Linked DNA regions of Lonchura striata. The protein of the gene in region 1 binds, or shares a complex with, the protein of each later gene. Links are inferred from orthologs where the notes say so. Each region holds a gene or a part of one and is shown on either strand. Other genes may lie near its edges.

Region 1 (8,013 bases):
AGTACCCCTGAGTAACCCCTGAGTACCCCCCGAGTACCCCGAGTAACCCCTCAGTAAACCCCTCAGTACCCCGTGAGTACCCCCAAGTACCCCCCGAGTACCCTGTGAGTACCTCGTGAGCACCCCCCGAGTAACCCCGAGTAACCCCTCAGTACCCCGTGAGTACCCCCCGAGTACCCTGTGAGTACCCTGTGAGTACCCCGTGAGTACCTCATGAGTGAGTACCCCCCGAGTACCTCGTGAGTACCCTGTGAGTGAGTACCCCGTGAGTACCTCATGAGTGAGTACCCCCCGAGTACCTCGTGAGTACCCTGTGAGTGACTACCCCGTGAGTGAGTACCCCCCGAGTACCCCCCGAGTAGGCGGTGAGTAGGCGGTGAGTAGGCGGTGAGTAAGGGTGTCTCTCTTGGCGGGCAGTGCTGAACCAGCTGGAGGAGCTGCTGAGCGACATGAAGGCGGACGTGACGCGCCTGCCGGCCACGCTGTCGCGCATCCCGCCCATCGCCGCGCGCCTGCAGATGTCGGAGCGCAGCATCCTCAGCCGCCTGGCCAGCAAGGGCGCCGAGAGCCACCCCCCGCCCGTGAGTGACACCCTGTCACACTGTCACATTGTCACCGTGTCACCCTGACACCCTGTCACACTGTCACACTGTCACCCTGTCACACTGTCACACTGCCACCTCGGCATCCTCAGCCGCCTGGCCAGCAAGGGCGCCGAGAGCCACCCCCCGCCTGTGAGTGACACCCTGTCACACTGTCACACTGTCACCCTGTCACACTGTCACTGTGTCACACTGTCACCCTGTCACACTGTCACACTGTCACACTGTCACCCTGTCACACTGTCACTGTGTCACACTGTCACCCTGTCACACTGTCACACTGTCACACTGCCACCTCGGCATCCTCAGCCGCCTGGCCAGCAAGGGCGCCGAGAGCCACCCCCTGCCCGTGAGTGACACTGTCACCCTGTCACATTGTCACCGTGTCACCCTGACACACTGTCACCCTGTCACACTGTCACCCTGTCACACTGTCACACTGCCACCTCGGCATCCTCAGCCGCCTGGCCAGCAAGGGCGCCGAGAGCCACCCCCCGCCCGTGAGTGACACCCTGTCACACTGTCACATTGTCACCCTGTCACACTGTCACCCTGTCACACTGTCACTGTGTCACACTGTCACCCTGACACCCTGTCACACTGTCACACTGTCACACTGCCACCTCGGCATCCTCAGCCGCCTGGCCAGCAAGGGCGCCGAGAGCCACCCCCCGCCCGTGAGTGACACCCTGTGACACTGTCACCCTGTCACATTGTCACCCTGTCACATTGTCACCCTGTCACACTGTCACACTGTCACCCTGACACACTGTCACCCTGACACCCTGTCACACTGTCACACTGTCACCCTGTCACATTGTCCCCGTGTCACCCTGTCACACTGTCACCCTGACACCCTGTCACCCTGTCACCCTGTCACCCCACCGTGGGGACATTGGTATTGTCCCCCTGTCACCCAGCCCCAGGGACATTGTCCACGCCTTGGGGACAGCCCTGACCCTGGGGACAGCCTGTCCTGAGGACACCCCTGGCTGTGGGGGTGGCAGCAGGAGGTGACCCCAGGAGGTGACAGTGACGGGGTGACACCAGGAGGTGACAGGTGACCCCAGGAGGTGACAGTGACGGGGTGACCCTGGGAGGTGACAGTGGGGTGGTGGCTCTAGGAGGTGACGGGGAGGGTGACTCCATGGGGTGACCCCGGGAGGTGACAGCATGGGGGTGGCACCAGGAGGTAACACTGGGAGGTGACCCCAGGTGACCCTGGAGGTGACAGTGGGAGGTGACACCATGGGGTGACCCTGGGCAGTGACCCCAGAACTTACCCCTGTCACTGTCCCCTGTCCCTGTGTCCCTGTCACTGTCCCCTGTCCCTGTCCCCTGTCCCTCTGTCCCTGTCCCTCTGTCCCTGTCCCTCTGTCCCCGTCCCTGTGTCCCTGTCCCCTGTCCCTGTCCCCTGTCCTGTCCCTGTCCCTGTCCCTGTCCCTGTCCCTGTCCCTGTCCCTGTCCCCTGTCCCTGTCCCCTGTCCCTGTCCCCTGTCCTGTCCCCTGTCCTGTCCCTGTCCCTGTCCCTGTCCCTGTCCCTGTCCCCTGTCCCTGTCCCCTGTCACTGTCCCCTGTCCCTGTCCCTGTCCCCTGTCCCTGTCCCTGTCCCCCGTCCCTGTCCCCTGTCCTGTCCCCTGTCCTGTCCCTGTCCCCGTGCTGTCCCCAGACCTTCCCGCCGGGGCCCTACGCGACCCCCCCGAGCTACGGGGGCACCTTTGGGACCCCCCCAGCCGGAGCCCTGCCCCACCCCGGGGGGGCCAACTACAGCCAGATGCCACCGGGCTCCTTCATCTCCGGTGAGACACCGGGACACCGGGACACCGGGGACACCGGGGACACCGGGGGGGACTGGGGACAACGGGGGGACACGGGACACCGGGGGGGACTGGGGACATTGGGGACACTGGGGACACTGAGGGGGACTGGGGACAACGGGGGGACACCGGGGACACCGGGGGGGACTGGGGGGACTGGGGACACTGGGGTGGATACTGGGGGGACACCGGGGGGGACTGGGGACACTGGGGGGGACTGGGGGGACTGGGGACACTGGGTGATCCCCAAAAATGGGACACTGGGGACACTGGGGGGGACAAAATGGGACACGGGGGGGGGGTCCCTGGGGTCTCTGAGGGTGTCATTGGGTGGAGAAGGGGGTTCCCTTGGGGTCCCATGGGTGGGGGTCTCTGGGGCGGTTCCCATGGGTGGGGGTCCCATGGGTGGGGGTCCCATGGGTGGGTGTGGGGGTCTCGGGGGAGGTTCCCATGGGTGGGGGTCCCATGGGTGGGTGTGGGGGTCTCGGGGGCGGTTCCCATGGGTGGGGGTCCCATGGGTGGGGTTCCCATGGGTGGGGGTCCCATGGGTGGGTGTGGGGGTCTCGGGGGAGGTTCCCATGGGTGGGGGTCCCATGGGTGGGTGTGGGGGTCTCGGGGGAGGTTCCCATGGGTGGGGGTCCCATGGGTGGGGGTCCCATGGGTGGGGGTCCCATGGGTGAGGGTCCCTGACCCCCGTGTGTCCCCCCAGCCTCGAACGGCCCCGCGGTGCTGGTGAAGCGGGGTGGGTGTGGGGTTCCCATGGGTGGGTGTGGGGGTCTCGGGGGCGGTTCCCATGGGTGGGGGTCCCATGGGTGGGTGTGGGGGTCTCGGGGGCGGTTCCCATGGGTGGGGGTCCCATGGGTGGGGGTCCCTGACCCCCGTGTCCCCCCCAGCCTCGAACGGCCCCGCGGTGCTGGTGAAGCGCGAGGCGGAGGCGCTGGAGCGGAAGGAGCCGCCGCCGCGGGGGGGGGAGGTGATCTGCATCGACGACTGAGGGGGGGGAGGGGCCGGGGGTCCCCCCTGCCCCTCCCCCCCCCAAACCCCCACCCCGGGGCGGCCCCGAGCCCGGCGGGGGGAGGGGCGGGGGGTGGGGGAGGGGGGGAGGGGCTATAAATACGGAATTTGGAATTCTATAGGAGCGGGGTCGGGGGGAGGGGCGCTCCCCGGCCCTCCCCCCCCGCCCGGGCTCCGTTTCACCGCAGAGAATAAACCCGAGTCTGTCCCGGGATTGTCCCAGACTGGGGAATAAACCCGGGATTGTCCCAAAGGAGTGGGGAATAAACCCGGGATTGTCCCAGACTGGGGAATAAACCCGGGATTGTCCCAGACTGGGGAATAAACCCGGGATTGTCCCAAAGGACTGGGGAATAAACCCGGGATTGTCCCGGAGCTGGGGAATAAACCCGGGATTGTCCCAGACTGGGGAATAAACCCGGGATTGTCCCGGAGCCGAGGGGAATAAACCCGGGATTGTCCCAAAGGAGTGGGGAATAAACCCGGGATTGTCCCGGACTGGGGAATAAACCCGGGATTGTCCCAGACTGGGGAATAAACCCGGGATTGTCCCAAAGGAGTGGGGAATAAACCCGGGATTATCCCGGAGCAGTGGGGAATAAACCCGGGATTGTCCCGGAGCTGGGGAATAAACCCGGGATTGTCCCAGAGGAGTGGGGAATAAACCCGGGATTGTCCCAAAGGAGTGGGGAATAAACCCGGGATTGTCCCAAAGGAGTGGGGAATAAACCCGGGATTGTCCCAGACTGGGGAATAAACCCGGGATTGTCCCAAAGGAGTGGGGAATAAACCCGGGATTGTCCCAGAGGAGTGGGGAATAAACCCGGGATTGTCCCAGAGGAGTGGGGAATAAACCCGGGATTGTCCCGGAGCCGAGGGGAATAAACCCGGGATTGTCCCAAAGGACTGGGGAATAAACCCGGGATTGTCCCAGAGGAGTGGGGAATAAACCCGGGATTGTCCCGGAGCCGAGGGGAATAAACCCGGGATTGTCCCGGAGGAGTGGGGAATAAACCCGGGATTGTCCCGGAGCAGTGGGGAATAAACCCGGGATTGTCCCGGACTGGGGAATAAACCCGGGATTGTCCCAGACTGGGGAATAAACCCGGGATTGTCCCAAAGGACTGGGGAATAAACCCGGGATTGTCCCGGAGGAGTGGGGAATAAACCCGGGATTGTCCCGGAGCAGTGGGGAATAAACCCGGGATTGTCCCAAAGGTTACCATGGAGAGGTTTGTGGAGGGGAATTCCCCTTTTTTTGAAGCTTTTTTGGGCCGTTTTGCCCCAATTTCCCCATTTCTTGGGGGGCGCGGGGGCGGGGCTGGAGGAGCGAGGGACGATGGAGCGCGCGCTGGGGGACTGACGTCACTTCCGGCGCGGGAGGACCCACCGAGATGCGCGGGGCGAGCGCAACTTCCGGTTCCGTGGGGGAAACTACAGAGCCGCGCGCTGGGTAACTGACGTCACTTCCGGTGCGCCGGACCAGCGAGTTCACCACGCCTCTCTGCCCACGTGATCCTGCAGCCGGCTCCGATTGGTGGATGGGTCGGCGACGAGAGAAGCGCTAAACCAATGAGGGATCGGGGCGGGTACTGAGGGCGGGTCACGTGATCGGAAGGGAAAGCGGGAGCGTCGCCATGGTGAGAACTGGGATGGGGAACTGGGAGAGACTGGGAGAGACTGGGATGGACTGGGATGGACTGGGATGGACTGGGAGGGACTGGGGGGGACTGGGAACAGACTGGGATGGATTGGGATGGACTGGGATGGGACTGGGAGGGACTGGGGGGGACTGGGGGGGACTGGGAACAGACTGGGATATACTGGGAGGGACTGGGATGGAACTGGGAGGGACTGGGGGGGACTGGGAGGGAACTGGGAGGGACTGGGATAAACTGGGAGGGACTGGGATGGACTGGGGGGGAACTGGGGGGGAACTGGGAGGGAACTGGGAGGGACTGGGATAAACTGGGAGGGACTGGGATGGACTGGGGGGGAACTGGGATGACAGCAGCCTGTACTGGTTTATACTGGGCTGCACTGATCCGTACTGGTCCATACTGGTTAACGCTGTCCGTACCGGTTTATACGGGTCCATACTGGTGTGTACTGGTCCGTACTTACACTAGTTTATACTGGTTTATACCGGTCCGTACTGGTTTACACTAGTTTATACCGGTCCGTACTGGTTTATACCGGTGTATACTGGTCCGTACTGGTTTACACTAGTTTATACCGGTCCATACTGGTTTACACCGGTGTATACTGGTCCGTACTGGTTTATACTGGTCCGTACTGGTTTACACCGGTTTATACCGGTCCGTACTGGTTTACACCGGTGTATACTGGTCCGTACTGGTTTACACCAGTTTATACTGGTCCGTACTGGTTTACACCAGTGTATACTGGTCCGTACTGGTTTACACTAGTTTATACCGGTCCGTACTGGTTTATACCGGTGTATACTGGTCCGTACTGGTTTACACTAGTTTATACTGGTCCGTACTGGTTTATACCGGTGTATACTGGTCCGTACTGGTTTACACCAGTGTATACTGGTCCGTACTGGTTTATACCGGTGTGTACTGGTCCGTACTGGTTTACACTAGTTTATACCGGTCCGTACTGGTTTACACTAGTTTATACCGGTCCGTACTGGTTTATACCGGTGTATACTGGTCCGTACTGGTTTACACTAGTTTATACCGGTCCGTACTGGTTTACACCGGTGTATACTGGTCCGTACTGGTTTACACTAGTTTATACTGGTCCGTACTGGTTTACACCGGTGTATACTGGTCCGTACTGGTTTATACTGGTCCGTACTGGTCCATACTGGTTTACAGCGCTGTCTGCGGCCCGCAGGCGGCGCTGGCGCAGGGCCTGGAGCGGGTTCCGGCCCAGGCCGGGTTCCTCGTGATCAGCGACGGCGCCGTGCTGGCCGTGAGGGGCTGGAACGGGGGGTCCCGAAATTGGGGAGGGGTCCCAAAATTGGGGGGAGGGGAACCTAAAATTGGGGTCCCGAAATTGGGGAGGGGGACCTAAAAAATGGGGGGAGGGGGACCTAAAATTGGGGTCCCAAAAATTGGGGAGGGGTCCCTAAAAATGGGGGGAGAGGGGCCTAAAAATGAGGGAGGGGTCCCAAAATTGAGGGGGGGTCGTCCCTAAAAATGGCGGAAGGAGTCCCAAAATTGGGGGGTGTCCCTAAAAATGGGGGGAGGGGTCCCTAAAATGGGTCTCAAAATTGGGGAAAGGGATCCCTAAAAAATGGGGGGAGGGGTCCCAAAATTGGGGTCCCAAAAATGGGGGGAGGTACGGAACTGGGAGGTCCCAAAAACTGGGGAGGGGGTCCCTAAAAGTTGGGGGAGGGGGGAGGCAAAATCTGGGGGGGGGGTCCTCGAATTTGAGGGTGCCAAAATCTGGGGGAGGGGGGGGAAGTTCGGGGGGGGGGGGGGTGTGAAGCTTTTTTGGGGGTTCCTCAATTTGGGGAGGGGTCCCTTCAAACCGGGGGTTCCCAGGTGGGTTTTGGGTTATTTTTTGGGGATTTTTGTTTCCCTCTGGGAGGCTTCAATTTTTTGGGGGGGGGATCTTGGAGTGAGAATTCCCAAGAAGTTTTGGGGGGATTCCCAAGAATTTGGGAAATTTTTGGGGGGGTGGTTCTCAGGTCATTTTTGGGGTGGTTTTTTGGGGCATTTTTGGGGAGTTTTCTCCTCCTGGGTCCCCCAGTTTTTTTGGGATCTTTGAGCGAGAACTCCCAAAAGAAATTTTGGGGGGGATCCCCAGGAATTTTGTGGGGGTCCTCAAGTCATTTTTTGGGGTGATTTTGCTGCATTTCGGTGCCGCTTTTTGGGGGTTTTTTTGGGGGGGATTTTTTTTGTTCCCCCTGAGAACTCCCAAAAAGCTTTCGGGGTTCCCCAAATGCGGAATTCTTCCTTCGGCAGTCCTCGGGGGACCTGGAGAACGACGAGCACACGGCCACCGTCCTGCAGGGCCTGGTGGCCACGGCGCTGGGGCTGCGGCTGCCCCGCGGCCACGAGCCGCCCTTCCGCCGCCTCTCGGGTGAGCTGGCACGAAAAGAGGCACGGAACCGCCCCGAAATACCCAAAACGGGCACGGAACGGCCCCGAAATATCCAAAACGGGCACGGAACGGCCCCGAAATATCCAAAACGGGGACAAAATATCCAAAACGGGGACAAAATATCCAAAACGGGCACAAAATGGCCCCGAAATATCCAAAACGGGCACGAAACCGACCCGAAATACCCAAAACGGGCACGAAACGGCCCCAAAATACTCAAAACGGGCACGGAAGGGCCCCAGAATATCCAAAACGGGGACAAAATATCCAAAACGGGCACGCAACGGCCCCAAAATATCCAAAACGGGCACGGAACGGCCCCAAAATACCCAAAACGGGCACAAAATATCCAAAACGGGCACGAAACCGCCCCAAAATATCCAAAACGGCCCCAAAATATCCAAAACGGGCACAAAATATCCAAAACGGGGACAAAATATCCAAAACGGGGACAAAATATCCAAGACGGGCACAAAACGGCCCCGAAATATCCAAAACGG
Region 2 (7,303 bases), on another chromosome or scaffold:
AACTATCAAAATACATCCTGGTACTCCTGTGTCTTCTTAAAAGAAGAAAGTTGTTCCAAAGGCTTTAACAAGTACTTAGACCTTCCTGTTTACAAATGAGTCTGAGCTTGCAAGTGATCTTTTAGTTAACAGGAAAAAGGATATATAACACATTTATCAAATATTGGAACTGTGAAGTCAGAGTGAACAGATGGTCTTAGCAAAGCTGCCTATAATAATTCTATGGGCTGTGTCTGCCCTTCAGCCACTTCTGGTGCAGGTGAGAAGTGGGGAAATGGATGGATGCTGAGCTGTGTCAGCTGGGTTCCATTCCTATCAGTTCTTCTGCAAGCTGGAATGATGTGCTGGCTGTGCCCTATGGCAACACAGATATCCCATAAGGTTAAAAGTGAGACCTAGACCACAACATTTCATTTGACTACCTTGCAATTAGCACTTTCTGAAAAGGAAATAATATGTTTATACTGGTGGAAGTATGCTGCTTAGCATTTAACAGATTAAATACTTGCACACTTTGAAATACGTAGTAATGTGCAAAAGGATGCTGTGATTTCCTGTGGCATAAAGATTAAGCTGCTCTAAATATGGCCTGCAAACACTCTTTTAATATTTCAAGTGGGTGTTTTTCTCCTCATGATTGTTGCTTTTTTCCTCAAGTCTGAAGGTTTGGTTTTTTTTTCCTTCAGAAATGTCAATATCTTCCCTGGATTTATTGAGGGAATCTGCTGGAAAGTACAGAATTAATTTTCTCATGAGCAAAATGCAAATTGAAGAGAGTGGAGTACTTAAATCTTTTCAGATGACCTTTCTTCAGAAGGAAAAGTTCTCATTAAAATAAGATATTGGAAAGAGAAGAGGAAAACAACACTGTTTTTGAACAGCCTGACTAAAAATCCCTCAAAATTTTAGCTACATGCTCCTTACTGTTTTTATTTAGTGATTACCTTTCATTTAATCTAGAGTTAAAGATAGCACAAGCATGGGTTCTTGGTTTTATCCTTTAAAAGGGCAGGCAGAAAAGTCCAGCAAAAAGAGAAAAATCTTGGCATGACTCTGACATAGCCTAATGAAAAAAGGAGGTGATTTGCATCTGCTGAAATATAACATCAATATGTGTTCTATTTATGGAGCATCCTGAGTCACAAGCGAGTTCAGTGTTCACATCTGATGAACATTTCCCTACAAGTTCTCTGTTTGGGTAAAACAAGTCTAAATTGGAATTTTTAACTGTTTTTTAAATGGTCTTTTTTCTTTTAACAAGTTTCCAAGAAATGGTAGAACATTACAGCGCTAAAACTGTAACAGATGAATTTAAATAGACATTAGAGACAACTTTAAATAATGAATATTTTTAATGTAATTTTGTAACAAATGCTGTGAAAGGATTTCAATGGGAGAGCAAGAATATTTTTTAAGGTTGTTTGTTCATAAATTTCATTCACCATTAAGCAGTTGTTATTCTGACTCCTTGTAGCTCTGTCAAATTGAAGAAAAGTGTAATAGTAAAAGCATTTTGTTTTTAGAAAAAGCAGGTAATACTAAATAAATTCCTAAAGCTATAATTTACTTACACAAAATGTAATGCAATAAATGTAGGAAAAAAAAGGCCATTTGTTGTGGTTTGGCCTCAGCCATGGATCAGCACCGTGCAGCCAGCTGCTCTCACCCCCACAGCGCAGTGGGAAAAATTGAACTCAGGTAAAACCTGTGGGTTGAGATGACAGCAGTTTCATCATCGAAACAAAATCAGGTATCAGTGATCAACAGCAATGAAAAGGGACACAACAAGGGAGAGAGGAATTGATGCCCAGTGCAATTGCTCACCACACTCTGACCCATGCCCTGCCTGTCCCTGTTGAGCAGTCAGCAGCTCCTGACCAACCTCCCCAGTTTATACACTGACCATGAGGGGATCCATGGAATGGAATTGCCCTTTGGCACATCCAGGTTTGCTGTCCTGGCTGTACTCCCTCCCAGCTTCTTGTTCACCTGCTCACTGCCAGAGTGTGGGAGACTGAAAAATCCTGGATTTAGAGTAAGCACTGCTCAGCAACAGCCAAAGTATCTGTGTTACCAAAATTATTCTCATACTGAATCCAAGGCACAGCACTGTACCAGCTGCTTGGAAGAAAAGTAACTCCCCTCTCCCAGCTGAAAGCAGGACACCATTATAAACTATACTTCCCATACTGCTCAGTCTGGCAGGAATTAGGTTTGAGTATTGGGCTTCTCCATGTTTTTAGAAATAATGTTAAAATACACTGTTTAGTTACAATGTTATCCTTCATGTAAGATACGCTTCTCCCTCCAGTACTGGTTTATTCCACATATAGAATGACTGTCATTGGGATGGGAGAATAAATTCCCATTAATAGTAATACAGGAGCCATCTCATAGATGCTTTTGCATAGCTTTTATTCAAAATGTGACAGGGAAATAAGTAAAATTGTTCATTGAGCATCATGGCTGCAAATAATTTTTTAAAAGTTGCATTTTTAAACATATTTAGTGTATATTAGGGAATATTTTAATAAATGAGAAGACCAAGGTTGTTCCAGGTAGCATTTTCAAAATATACCAGAAGCTCACACAATGATTTTAAGTATCTTTTAAGTATCTCTCTAATATGACCAAGTCCTTATCAAATTGCTGTGTGTGCATGGCTTGGATTAAGAAGGAGGTATGGATTCTCAGTATTCAAATAAATTTGTTCTTTTGAATTACTTTTTCCTCTTACTTGCAGAAAGTGGCTTATTTCTGTTTTGAGCTTTTTGGAAATGTCACTGGACCTATATGTGCAGAAACATTAGCAATTTCCAAGTTTTTTTTTTTTTTTTTTTTTTTAATTTACACTTTTTAAAAGTTTAATTTTATACTGGCATCTAAGCAAAATCTTCAGGTATCAACAATGCTCTAGTCCCTGTTGGTGTCCCCTCGGCTCAGTATTGGGCCCACTCCTATTCAGTATCTTTAGTGATGATCTGGATAAGGAAATTGAGTCTACCCTCGGTAAGTCCACAGTGACACCAAGTTGGGTGGCATTGTCGATCTGCTGGAGGGCAGGAGGTCTCTGCAGGGGATCTGGACTGGTTGGATCAATGGGCTGAGACCAACAGAATGAGGTTTAACAAGGCTGAGTGCTGCCCTTGGGTCACAGCAACCCCAGGCAGTGCCACAAGCAGGAGAAAGAGTGGCTGGGAAGCTGCCCAGTGGAAAAGGGCCTGGGGGTTCTGGTGACAGCAGCAGAACATGAGCCAGCTGTGCCCAGGGGGCCAAGAAGGCCAAGGGCATCCATCCTGGCCTGTATCAGCAATGGTGTGGCCAGCAGGAGCAGAGATTGTTTCCCTGTACTCGGCACTGGTGAGGCCACAGCTCAAGAGCTGTGTCCAGTTCTGGGCCCCTCACTGCAAGAAGGACATTGAGGAGCTGGAGTGTGCCCAGAGAAGGGCAGCGGAGCTGGAGAAGGGTCTGGAGCACAAGTCCTGTGAGGAGTGGTTGAGGGAGCTGGGGGTGAGTGTTCAGCCTGGAGAAGAGGCAGCTCAGGGGCACCTTACTGCTTACAGCCCCCTGACAGGAGGGTGTAGCTGGGGGGGTCGGCCTCTTCTAGCATGCAACCAGTGACAGGATGAGAGGAAATTATCTCAAGCTGTGCCAGGAGAGATTCAGGTTGGATGTTAGCAAGAAATTCTTCACAGAAAAGGTGACTAGTACTGAAACGGGCTGCCCAGTAAGGTGATGGAATCACTGCTGCTGGAGGTATTAAAGACTGGACGTGGCACTCAGGGCCATGGTCTGGTTAACCTGGTGGTGTTTAGTCATAGTCTGGACTTGATGATCTGGGATGTCTTTTCCAACTTAATTTATTCTGTGATTCCGTGCTTGGCCTGTAGCAGCTTTTTTTTTTTTTTTTTTTTTTTTAAAGAAAAATCATTGTTACATGCTGAGCAGCTTGGGGCATTTTTAGATCTACCATAAGGGTCCTGCATTCCGATAGAAGACTTTAAAAACAGATGTGCAGTTACCATTGTAACTAACTGTTACACTGTAGGCATCTACTAAATTAATCTATTTATTTCTTCACATTAGCTGTTAAATTGGCCTGCAGGCTCATGGTTTGATGGAATTGATCCAAAAGTAAGGGAAATAGGCAACAGTGGAAGAGCGGCAGTAATTTCTCGGCAGAAAAAGACGTTCGCTTTCTGTCGCTGATCTTCTTTAAGCAAAACGCTATGGCTTGTTTTGGCTTTGGTTCGTTTTGCTGCCGGGGCGGGGAGGGCGGGGACGGCCGGGAAGCGGTTCCGGGGCCGGCAGGGCGGTGCCGTGGCTCATGTGACAGCGCTCCGAGGGAAGCGGCGGCGGAGCCGTGCGGGGCGCGGGCAGGTACGGCGGGGCGGGCGGGAGCGGCCGGCCGGGCCCCGGGACGGAGCGCGGCCTCCCTCCCTCCGGCCGCCCGCGGTGACGGGGCCGCCTCGTCTTGTCTCGCAGGCCCCGGAGGCGGCGGCGGCAGCAGCGGGCGGGCCCCAGCCATGGCCGACGTGAGTGCGGCTCCGCGGGGCGGGCGGGCCGGGGCGGGCTGCTGGCGGGGCCGGGCGGTGCTTCGGGCGGGGAGGGAGCTCCGGAGTGCCCGGCCGCTCGGAGCGGCCGTGAGTAACGCGCCGCCGTCTCTGCCCGCAGGACCTGAAGCGGTTCCTGTACAAGAAGCTGCCGAGGTGAGGTGGGGCTGTGCGGGGCGGGCGGCCGGGCCCATCGGGTGCCAGCCCCCTGCCATGGCAGGGACACTTCCCACGACACCCGCTTGCTCAGAGCCCTCTCCGGCCTGGCCATGAACACTTCCAGGGGGGGGTATCCACAGCCTCCCTGGGCAGCCTGTTCCACTATCTCACCGCCACATAGTAAAGAATTTTTTCCTAATAGCTAACCTGAATTTCCTGGTTTTCAATTTGTCCTGTCACTGCAGTTTGTGATTACGAGTTCCTCTCCAGCTTCCCTATAAACCCCGTTCTGATACTGGAAGGTTGCTGTGAGGTCTCCACTCAACCTTTTCTTCTCCAGGCTGAACAGCCCCAACTTCCTCAGCCTGCCTTTGTAGGGGAAGTGCTTCAGCCTTTTCATCAACCTCATGGCTTCCTCTGCACTTGCTCCAGCAGTTCCATGTCCTTCTTATTGCTGGGGCCACCAGACCTGTACTAAACAGAACAAATACTAAATTAATGAAGGCATCAGTTTTTTTCAAAGTTCTCCCCTTCTTTGCACATTTGTTCACACAAAAAACCTTTTGTACTAATTACTGTGTTTTTAAAATTATGCATCTTCTTCCTTTTTTTTTTTCAGTGTTGAAGGACTTCATGCTATTGTGGTCTCAGATAGAGATGGTGTGCCTGTTATCAAAGGTAACTTCAGCTTCTCACTGTGCTCTGCAGCTGAAATCCTGATTGAACAGCAGAGGGTGGAGAAGTACAGAAAAGTCTTCCTGGTTATGCCAAATACCCGAATATCCCAAGTGGTAGAATTTAATTGGACTTTAAGTAAAAGTTCACTAGTTGATTATGTACCTTTTTGAACATATCCTTTTGTCTGTGCCCTCCGTAACTGTAGTCTGTGGGAGTTTTCCTCCATGACAGGGGCTGGAATGCTGTAAGGTCCTTTTAGCTTCAAGTCCCTCACAGGCTGATTGATACTAAGTAGTAGAGAGAGCTTGGCAGTATTTTGTTGGTTTCTTTGGTACTCTAGTTTTCATGTTCTGCAGTGCTTGTTTCAGATGGTTTTGGCTTGTGAGTATAATGGTTTAAGGATACAAAGATTCAAGTATTGCAGGTTTATTTTGCTCAATGCTCCAAAGTATTCAAACACCCAGCAGAACTTGCACATCTTCACCTGTCTGCAGTCAAGTGTGTGCCAGTAGTCTGTTCAAAGGTTGGAATGGGTGCAAACAGTGTGGGACATGGAACCAAAGGGGCATCAGCACAGGCTGTGCATCCTAAAGGAAAAGAGTCTTTTTCAGGTATGCAAGGAGGGATGCTGCTATAGCAAGCTATGATCATACAGAGAGCATTAAATTATGTACAGCTCGTGAAAATTGTCTGGTGTTCCTGTGGGAGCACCTCGGGCATCTTGCATGTTTCTCTGGTTTTGGCAGAGCACTGAGCTGGATGAGAGTTTGAGGTGCAGTCAGAGACACCATGTAAAGATAAGGATTTTCTTGTTTTGTTCTAGTTGCCAATGATAATGCTCCAGAACATGCACTGCGACCTGGCTTTTTGTCCACCTTTGCCCTTGCCACAGATCAGGGCAGTAAGTTAGGACTCTCTAAAAACAAAAGTATCATCTGCTATTACAATACCTACCAGGTGAGTAACCTCAGCGTGCCCTGTCCTCAGCAACTTGAGCTGTTCCTGCGTTACATTGAGCAAGAGAAAGAAGGTTGTTTAAGCTCTGGTAGATTTTCACTAGGCTGCTATTGAAGTAATTTTGGTTTATTTCTTACACAGCTTAAATGGTTAAGCCAAACTTTCACAGTATTTTTAAAACTTCTGTTATATTTCTCAAAACTTGAGATTTACTTCTTGATAGTGGGAAAGTGTAGTGGTTCTGAATTTGCAGGAGGTATTGTTCGTATGGTCTTCTGAATCTTTTATGAAGGGTTTATGTACTCTTTTAGAAACAATGTTTATAATTAGTGACACCTAACATTAATTAAAGTACATGCAGCCTACTTCATAGTTAATCTTGCTGCCAATATGGCTTTGAGATAAGAATGGTTTGAAATACCACTCACATTTTTCAGAAATAAATTATTTGTGTCCAGAAGTCTATAATCTACTACATTTCTGTTCCTTCATGAGTTCTGGTGGCCCTGAGAGCTTTTAATTATGACTGCAGTAAACTGAACAGCTGTTTAGCCTATAGTGTATCAAGCTTTGCTTGGAAATAAGTGGGTGAGTAAGACAGTTTGCCCACATCAGTACATTTCTTTGACTCTCTTGATGCTACTAGCTTACTGTTGTGCCCATGGCACCATTTCCCTGTTAATGGAAGAACAGATATTCCTGTACAGGGAACAGTATTTTAAAACAATAAACCTGTCTGCCATCCTGTTTCCTGTGGAGGGTGTGTCTCCACAATGGAATCTGCAGGGTCTGCAGCTAAGGTAGGGTTCTGGTGGACAGCAGTCTGTAGAACATGGAGACAGAGGGAATGGCCAGATTTTCCATGTGCAGCTCCCTGTACTGTAGTGTAAGGTCTGTTTGTGTTTCTAACCATGAATCTTAAGAAACGGGTACACTAAAAAGTCACCTCTGTGGCT

Evidence for each region. Proteins that work in one complex are often made in the same cells at the same time.
Region 2: LAMTOR4 (region 1) and LAMTOR3 share a complex: the UniProt entries of both Homo sapiens proteins name them as parts of the ragulator complex. The link is inferred for Lonchura striata from reciprocal best matches to the Homo sapiens genes LAMTOR4 and LAMTOR3.

The regions. Positions count from the first base shown.
Region 1 is NC_134636.1:1,852,930-1,860,942, reverse strand, and holds the start of LAMTOR4 (ragulator complex protein LAMTOR4), read left to right. Parts: upstream 1-4,995; 5' UTR 4,996-5,070; coding exon 5,071-5,073; intron 5,074-6,298; coding exon 6,299-6,376; intron 6,377-7,374; coding exon 7,375-7,492; intron 7,493-8,013. Other genes in the region: CHD3 (chromodomain-helicase-DNA-binding protein 3), read left to right, coding at 418-581, 2,272-2,401, 3,313-3,413. UniProt on the Homo sapiens protein: As part of the Ragulator complex it is involved in amino acid sensing and activation of mTORC1, a signaling complex promoting cell growth in response to growth factors, energy levels, and amino acids.
Region 2 is NC_134606.1:49,697,152-49,704,454, forward strand, and holds the start of LAMTOR3 (ragulator complex protein LAMTOR3), read left to right. Parts: upstream 1-4,300; 5' UTR 4,301-4,380; intron 4,381-4,485; 5' UTR 4,486-4,526; coding exon 4,527-4,535; intron 4,536-4,674; coding exon 4,675-4,709; intron 4,710-5,331; coding exon 5,332-5,390; intron 5,391-6,213; coding exon 6,214-6,347; intron 6,348-7,303. UniProt on the Homo sapiens protein: As part of the Ragulator complex it is involved in amino acid sensing and activation of mTORC1, a signaling complex promoting cell growth in response to growth factors, energy levels, and amino acids.